Linked DNA regions of Macaca fascicularis. The protein of the gene in region 2 interacts with the protein of the main gene of each other region in a biochemical or structural test. Links are inferred from orthologs where the notes say so. Each region holds a gene or a part of one and is shown on either strand. Other genes may lie near its edges.

Region 1 (4,529 bases), on a different chromosome or scaffold from region 2:
GTTAGAAAGCTTTCAGTTAGTAGTCCCCACTACTCAGGGATCACTAGCCACAGAGCCACCCTGCTATTGCAAAATGAATCCCAAGCTACCCTGGGCCACAGACAGACCCAGACAGTCTGGGTCAGTCATCCTGCTAGAAACCTCGTGGGATCCCAAATGTGAGGAATATAAATGAATTTCAGGATCTTATTTTTGCAAACCCCTCCGCATCTTAGAAAGTACCAGTCATTGACGGCTGGGCGCACTGACTCATGCCTGTAATCCCAGCACTTTGGGAGGCCGAGGTGGGTGGATCACTCAAGGTCAGGAGTTTGAGACCAGCCTGGCCAATATGGTGAAACCCTGCCTGTACTAAAAATACAAAAATTAGCTGGGCATGGTGGTGTGCGCCTGTAATACCAGCTACTTGGGAGGCTGAGGCATGAGAATCGCTTGAAACCAGGAGACAGAGGTTGCAGTGAGCCAAGATCATGCTACTGCATTCCAGCCTGGGTGACAGAACAAAACTCTGTCTCAAACAAAAAAGAGAAAGTACCAGTCACTGTGCTGTTTCTCTTTATATTTTTCTGCATCTAGGCAAGGCTTTCACAAAGTGCTGTACAATCCCTTTTCTTCATTATCACATGTTGGCCCATCTCTGAAGATACGGCTGTTAACAAGCTTGCAGCAGGAAGGGAAAAAAAAATTGCCCTTAGTCCTTTGCAAACACTATCATACCTTTAACATGCAATTCTATCCTTTATGGCTACTTGTGTGACATAAAAATAGTTGCCTGAATCTATGTAGGGATTTCTCCTCACACTCAAATGAGGCCTGAACAAACAGCATGGCAGAGCCAGGCCCACTTCCTTTTTTGTTTTTCAAATAACAGAGACAAGGTCTGGCTATGTTGCCTAAACTGCTCTCGAACTCCTGGCCTCAAAGGATCCTCAAGGCCTCCCAAAGTGGTGGGAATATAGGCATGAGCCACCGTGCCCAGCCCAGGCCTACCTTTCTCATGACACATGACAACAAGTTCATCACAACAAATAGTTAAATATAAAGGCACAATGAGAATGGGTCATTAAGCTAGCAAGAGCTGCTTTCCACTCAGAAGCACTCTTCAACAACTCCTCTCAACCAGAGAACTGTTTGCCAGCCAGAGAGGACTGTGACACCAGTTCTACCTCCTCCTGGCTACTCCAACAGAGGAGGCTGTTCCCTACAACCCTTCCTAGACAGCAGGTGGCTGGTCCCCAGGCCCTCCACGCTGTTGGCCTCTTGGCATCCTCCCGTTGACACAGGCAGCTGGCCTCAGCCCTGCACAGCCTACTGAAATCCATGTCCAGGGGAAGTAACAGGTTTTCACCAAGAGGGAGACTCAGTTCTAAAAGGAGAGGTAACCAGCAAAGATGTCCACTTGCCCCTTCAGGTCTACCCTTTGGCTACACCCCAAGCAGCTGCCGAACATCTTTCAGGACTCACTGAAGATCATCTAACACAATGCCTGCATGAATGTAGTCCTGGACAGTTTCAACCAGTATCTGTTTTTGGTCCAGCAAGACCATGAGGACAGGTTCTTTTCCAGAGTCCCCAGAACATCTGTTTTGCCCAAATGCTGCAGGAAGAAACAGGTTGCAAACAGGAACGGGAAATTAGAAAAGACCATTCCTACCCTAAAGCTACTTGAGGGTTACTCTCAGCTCCCCGGAGAAACTGCAGGCCATGGTCAAGAAGCTCCTCTTTATGTCCCACTTCACAATTCCTCCCTGCTGGAGTCCCAGGGTCTCCATCATTTATTTCCAAATGGAGGTGGGAAGCTGTGGTCCCTTTCAATCCTAAACCAAACCATGGTTCTCTCTACCTAATGTCCTAAAGCAAAGCCGCTGCAGAGCTAGGAGGAAGCTCTGCACGGAGAAAGAGAACAGTGCAGAGTAAGCAAGAAGTTTATCAGGAAGAGCTGCTCCGTCAAACTTCAAAAGCAAAAGCTTTACCCTGATACGACGTCTGAGTTCATCGGGAAGGTATCAAAAGGAGACCTCCTCCTCATCTCTCCACAAGCACCAGGCCCTCATCTTTGGCCCTCCTACCTCCAACAGGAGAGCCCCGGGCCCCCCGAACCGCCCCCCGCCCGCCATCCTATGCAGTCTCTTGCCCTCTGAGCTTCTCCGGCCTCGCTCCTCCAAAACCCTCTCAAATGCTCCCCAGGCTCCGCCTCGCCTCTCCCATCCCACTTCTGCCGCCCCCGCTTGGCTTCCCCTCGCCCACTAATGACCCCCTACAGGCGCCCCCTCTTTTCACCACGTTTACAGTTCCCTCGCTCATGCCGTTCCCCTCTCTGCTCCTACACACACCCCTAGTCCTCACTCTATTCTCCTAAACCCGGTTAACCCTTCACTACCCACAGGCTCCGTTAACCCCTTTGTCCCCATTCCCAACTTGAGCCTTAACTCCTTCCCTCGCAGCAGGAAGCCCTCCTTCCAAGTGCTTTAACCGTTCTCTACCCCTCCTCCCAGCCTCCCACAAATTACTTCGCCCTCGGCGCTTTAACCCTTCCCAGCCCGCGCCTGTCCGTCTCCCCGCGGCCCAGAGCATACCAGTACTTGACGATAGCGGTAACCTGGAGCGGGTTCGGCTGGTCAGGGTAAAGGCGGCGGCACTCTCCGTAGATGGCGTGCAGTCCCGGGGGAAAGAGCGAAGCGAAGGCTGGAGGGGCAGTCGGGCCAGGGGCCGGGGGTGCGGTGGGGCCGGGGGCGCCGCTAGGCCGCAGCTCCGCCATCGGGGCGCGTAGGGCAGGCCCTGGGAGAACTGGAGAGGGCAAACGAGGGGGAGAGCACTGACGGGCCAGCGGGCGGACTCGGTGGGTGAGACTCCCCGAGGCGATGGGGGCTGCAGCGAGGTCCAGCTCCGCGCCTGCGCACGGCGCACTGTCCGCCCAGGCTGTCGCCGCCGCGGAGTCTGCCAGAGGGTGCCTCGGGGCGGCGGGGCGCTCAGGAAGGCGGGGCGCCGGCGCGCCCTATCCAAGCACCCATTGGCTAGTGTCTGTGCTAGTCACAGGCAGAGACGGCGTGACTTGACAATAGGCCCCTCCCCCCCCCGTGTTGGGAGTGTCCCAAGGCTCTTGGTCTCCCCCTAGTGTTAGGAGGAACCCAAGTTTAGAGATGCTGAGCACCCTCTGAGGTGCTAGGGTCCCACGAAAGCACCAAGAAGTGCGCCAACAAAGGATTTGTTACTGTTTTGCTGACGCGCTGCTAACTAGGATTTAAACATAAATCTGACAATGGATTGATTCATTAATCCATGGGGCGTTAATATTAATAGATTATAATAAATCTAATATTTTCTAGGGCTATTGACAAAAAGGTTCCTGCAATTTGAAGGGGGCTGGGGAAGAACATAATCCAAAGAAAAAAATGCACTGGGCTCATTTGAAAGCAGTGACACATAACCTCTCTTCACCTCCACTTTCTCAACCGTCAATGCCAATTCTAGCTCCTCATGAAAATTAAAGAGATACTACAGCAGTTCCTGAAACCCTTAGATGATGTTTTAATGACCAAAAGATTACCTATAACAGTAGTTCCAATTGCCAATCCTCGGATCAATGTTAGCCTGTTATAAAGTTTACACCTATGCAGAAAAAAAGAAAACCCAAAAAGCAACAACAATGTACAGGTTTTTTCCTTAAAGCTAATTTTATGCAATTTAAATTGTTTTCCTATGTTGTAGGAATATGTCCTGTCGCGTACGTGTGTTAACATTTCCTTTTCGTTAGAGTGTGAGGTGCTAGGAGATGTTTATTAGTCTTATAGACCCAAATAAAAGCATGAGAACCTTATATTGTCTAAGGGAACGTTGTGGGGAGTGGCAGGACTGATCTGCAAAATCCAAACATCCATGAATTACGACCAATCCAAACCGAACTACAGACAAGTACTCAAGAAGACTATACACCTCAGTATGCACTGCGAACTCCTTCAAAGGGACTACAGATCCAGGCATGCAACATGACCATCAACCTGTGTCTCTGGCTGTTTAATCTAGGGAGACCACAAATCCCAGGGTACTGTGCATCGGAAATACGACTCCCAGTCTTAAATTAGGCGGGCAACAAAGCAACCTAGAGCGCTAACCCAGGCGCAAAGCATGCTGGGGATTGTAGTTTTTCAGAGGTGAGGTAGGGCAGCTCCCTCGCCTCCCTGAGCCGGCGGCTAGACTGCGCATGCGTGTCAGTGGCGCTAGCGGCGGACCCGGCTAGGCAGTTCCTTCCCCAGAAGGAGAGATTCCTCTGCCATGGAGTCCTACGATGTGATCGCCAACCAGCCTGTCGTGATCGACAACGTGAGTTGCGTCTTTCCCATTTGTAAGGGGACTTGGGCTCTCCTCCTAGAAAGGATCGCTTCCCGGGGTTCAGCCTGAGCCGCCGGCTCTTTGTCACTGGCCCGGCCTGTCAGGCGCGTTCAGCCACCGCCGCCTCCTTCCTCCCCTTATCATATAGGCCGAAGGCAAGGCGGCCAGCCAGCAAAAGTGGGATGGAGAACTCTGGAGTG
Region 2 (4,452 bases):
ATTAATAGAATAAGTTTATTTTATTCTATTAGAGTTTCTCTTTATTATGAGCCCATGTCCCCCTTTTTTTTTCCTTGGCATTAAAATGTTTTTTACCTCATGAAATAATGGTTTAAGTAAAAAAGTAGAAGGTACCTGGCTTTGTTTTGGTTCATTTTGAAACAGTCTTATTTGCCAAATAAGAAGAGAGCAATCAAATTTCTATACCAAATATTTGTTGATATTTTATTTATCCATATCATCCAGTGATTTAAAGGACTCAAGAAAGTTCCCTTTGTCCTAAAATGCACCTCTGCACACAAAGAGTAGGGAATTACTCTTCCAACAAGTAGACCTCCATAAGAATTAGATCATTACATTTTGACACAAGGAAATGTAAGTTTTCCCACCTTCTTGCTGTATCATTCACAAGAACATTAATATCACAGTAAAAAAGACCCAAACACACAGTACTGTAAATATGCAAAAAGTCTAGTCACAGAAACTATATTGGTGACAATAACAATTGTAATTACTGACAGTTACTTCAGTAACGGTAAAAGTAGCCAAATTCTTATCAAGATTATTTATGGATAGTCTCTAGTATCATCCACAATGAAAATGGTTTATATTTATTAAGCTCCACATAGGGTAGGGTGGGAGAAGACAGAAAAAGAGGAAAAAAGTTAATAACTTAAGAAAAACTCTATTATGTAACTAAAGTTTGTCACTAGCATTGACAAAACTGCAAAATATCCTTGATAGTTGAAAATGACACAAAGTTCATATAGGACACCTACCTCTACTCACCCATTTCCCAACAAAAAATACATCTGCGCTTACCTCTGGTAATCTGCATGCTTTTATGCAAAGGCTAAACTGTAGAAGGGCATTACAACATAGCATAAACAAAGGGGTTTTAAAGTCAGGTGGTCTTAAATTCCCTCATTCAAGACCTAGATCTGCCCTTTACTTTCTGTATGTGACCTTGCACAAGTCATTCGACCACTTCAAGCCCCACTAGACTGTCAGCTCCACAGGAGCAAAGGCCACTTCTGCCTGACTCACTACTGTAAACAGTGGCCCACAGCACGGAGAAGTCAGTTTCTTCTGGTATAAAATAAAGATATTAACAGTATTTATCTCGCAGCTTTAACTGAAGGAATAAATGGGATATTATATATATAAAGTTCTGGTGCAGCGCCTGATTATGGTAAATGCTCAATAATAACTGTTTGACATTAACTACCAATCATCAAACATAAAAGTAATGTTTGAAGACCTTCAAATACTAATACGCAAAGCCTTTACCCACTAAGTATAAACTTCCCGATTAATTTTTTTTTTCTTTTCCACAGAATACCTGCGAAGTTTCTAAACGACTGGGTTGGGATTCTAATAATAGCTGAACCCTGAATGGTGGGTTACAGAGTCAAGCTATTAAAAGACATTCAGTAGACTCCAAGTGCTCCTACTTCAAAAAATAGGTCATACGCAGAGGCCCCACTGGCTTCCCAGTCTCCCCTTCGGACGTCCCTAGACTGTCAGGGAACCCCCCTCCTCCGCGTTTAGGGGGAGGAGAGAGAAAGCCTCAGAGGCGGGGGCCGAGGGTGGGGGAAAGCGAGCATCCCTGCGCCTCTCGCCCAGACCCACCTTGAGCAGGATGGACGGCGGCAGCTGGTTGATGTCTGGGGTTTCGGGGGACGGCTCCCTGTGACAGTCGCAGGGGTTTTCGGGGGGCTCCCGACAGTCCGCGTCGCCACATTCATGCTGCTGCTGGGCGGACGAGGGGGCGGTGCCCCCGGCTCGGACAGCGTCCCCGCCAGCTTCGGTAGGGGCACCTTCGGAGGTGGGAGAAGAGGGCGGGGGGCAGAGCGGCTGCGGGTGCTGCTCCGGGCCCTGGCAGCAGCCGGCGTCGGGGGGTCGGGGCGGCGAAGCGCCTCCCCCCGCAGGCCCTCCCCCACCACCACCGCCGCCGCTGCCGCAGCCCCCGCCGCCGCAGCGGGGCTGCTTGCAGGGGGTGCAGGCTGGGACCCCGGCCCCCTTCCGCTTGCACACCATTTCGGGGGGCGTAGGGGGCTCGGCCGGCGGCGGTGTCGGTCCCCGGAAGAGCTGCACGGCGGCGGGCGGCCCCAGGAAGCGCACCGGCCCCAAGCTGGCCAGGAAGAGACTTCGGCCCTGCTGCTCCCAGGCGGCGGCCGCAGCCAGCCCCAACTCTTTGCAGCAGGAGGCGGGCGACGAAGCCGAGGCGGCAGCGGCTGCGGCGGCGGCGGCCGAGGATAGCAGGAAGCGGCGGGCGGCAGCGGCGCAGTCCTCGGCGGCCAGGGCCGCGTAGCGCCGCGCCAGGTGCTGGGAGGAGGAGGCGGCAGCGTAGGCCCCGTCCCGCGGCGGCGGCGGCGGCGAGAGCGGCGGCTCCTCCTCTGGGCCGGCGGGGGCGGGCGCGCCGGGACTGTGCACGATGAAGCAGAGCATGCAGGGCCCGCGGAAGAAGCAGTCCCGGCTCCGGGGTGCCGCCGGTTGAGGGGGCACCTTGGCTGGGGTCCGGCGGGGCAGCCTGAGGAGAGGGCGCCGGCGGCGGCACCAACTGCAACAGCGAGGCCTCTTCTGGCTCGGGCGGTTACGCGGCTCCTTCGAGAGAAGGTGGCCCATATAGAAGACCCCGAGGAGGGGGACCGGGACGGGAGGGAGGGAGACCCAGAGAGGCGGGCTCCTGGCAGCGGGGCAGGCCGCTCGCTGGCTCGGCCCCCGGCCCACGGCGGGGTCGCCCTCCCTGCGCACACACACGCACACACGGGCACACACGCGACGGTGGGGGGTGGGCGTCAGCTGCGGGCCGCCGGAGTGCCCGACGGGGGCTACATGCTCTGCCCAGGGAAGCCGGGAGAACGATGGGCGCGAGCTTTGGGGACGCGAGGGAGTGAGCGAGCGAGCGAGCCTGCCGGCTAGGTGACCAGTCCGGGCCCGGCCAGCCGGCTCAGTCAGTCAGCGCGGCAGCGGGGGCAAGGCCGGGTCCCGCTCGGACCATTTTAACTGCGGATCTGCCGCCGGCGCGCGCGCCCGCGACTCTGCTCGGAGCCGCAGGAACGCGCGGCCCGTTCCGGCAGGGGGCGGAGCCAGTTGCGGTGGCGCGCTCGTGGCGGGGACGCTAGCGCCCGCTGCTCACCCGGAACGGCAGCCACACGGCACTACGGGAAGAAGCCGGCCGGCTAGGGTATGGAGCTCTGGGCTCGCGGGGTGCGGCGCGCGCCCCTCCCTCCAGCCGCCTAAGGTTTTTCCGAAGCTGCTGGGCGTGCGCCGCTTTTCTAAGGCGGGAGGAGACACTTCCGAGCCAGCTGTGTGACATCCGTTTACACAGCCGCGCTGACGTCTCGAGGTGTAAGTTCAAGAGCTGCCATTGGCCGGTAGCCGCTCGGCTCTTCCCCTCATCTTCCACCCCTATCACCACCCCTGACTCGGAAACCCAGGCCACTTCGAAGCCGCGAGGCGGGTTCCGCCGGAAGGGCCGGCGTGGGTGCTGACCGCGCCTTGGGCGGAGTGGCAGATGCGGCCGGTGGGTGATACGCACCCAAGTCATGTGAGGGGTTGATTGGTTGTGCGGCATCACTGTTTACTCACTTGTGTTTTATTAATTGTTGCGTACTACTGCCTTTCCACAACTTTATTTCAGAGTGAAAGCATATATCAAATTACCTGTGCACGGTGGAAAGATAACAGCTTCCCCACCCAATGAGCCATCCAACACCCAGGCTACAAGCTGTAGATCACTTTATTGTCTGCACCCTCGGAATGCTGTCTAGCCATCTGTTATATATTTTAAACATGACGGTGCAGTGCCGGCTGTATGACAAACCTTGGTGAGTCGGATGAGAAAGAGGAAATAGCTGTGCAGGCAGTCCGTTAGAAGGTTTGACTATATCGAGGCTAGAGAGCTAGGGCAGCTACTAGAGCGGCACCTGGTCTGGAGAAGTTAGCTTTCACAAGCGAAGAATTGGAGGAAGCAAATACCGATGGGAATGAGCGACTCCAATGAGAGAAATAGGAGAAGGTGGAATGGAGAGTGCTTTAGGAAGGACACTTTCTTCATTGTGATTACAGAGAATGACGAAAGGTAGATAAAGGATGAATATAGATAGGTGGATGTTTCTAGCCGGAAGGTGAGAGTTCCTTTCTGATGGTTTCTATTTTCCTTCAGATAGAGCTTGGTTACCTGCTGAAGGGTGGAAGTGAAGTGGCAGCTGTTTAAAAAAAAAATCTGCTAAGGATAACTTGAGAGAGCTGACTGAGGGAGCAGTATTGCAATATTCAAGGCCCAGTGACTTAGAGACCTCTGTTGGAACCTACATTGCTATTACCACTATAGTGGCCAGCGCCACCCAGTCTGCACTCAAACATGCTATCCAACATTTGTTTATTGTGGCCTCTTTGTCAGAAATGACTAATCTTAAGTCTGTCACATTCAGGGATCCTTCTTTC

The links.
Region 1: of the proteins of FBXL17 (region 2) and SUFU, one has a biochemical effect on the other in vitro, tested with the Homo sapiens proteins (2 studies listed by BioGRID, with this or other methods). The link is inferred for Macaca fascicularis from reciprocal best matches to the Homo sapiens genes FBXL17 and SUFU.

What each region holds. Positions count from the first base shown.
Region 1 is NC_088383.1:111,512,129-111,516,657, reverse strand, and holds the start of SUFU (suppressor of fused homolog), read right to left. Parts: upstream 2,950-4,529; 5' UTR 2,759-2,949; coding exon 2,577-2,758; intron 1-2,576. Other genes in the region: ACTR1A (alpha-centractin), read left to right, coding at 4,273-4,320. UniProt on the Homo sapiens protein: Negative regulator in the hedgehog/smoothened signaling pathway. Down-regulates GLI1-mediated transactivation of target genes. Down-regulates GLI2-mediated transactivation of target genes. Part of a corepressor complex that acts on DNA-bound GLI1.
Region 2 is NC_088380.1:114,883,298-114,887,749, forward strand, and holds the start of FBXL17 (F-box/LRR-repeat protein 17), read right to left. Parts: upstream 3,047-4,452; 5' UTR 2,629-3,046; coding exon 1,633-2,628; intron 1-1,632. UniProt on the Homo sapiens protein: Substrate-recognition component of the SCF(FBXL17) E3 ubiquitin ligase complex, a key component of a quality control pathway required to ensure functional dimerization of BTB domain-containing proteins (dimerization quality control, DQC).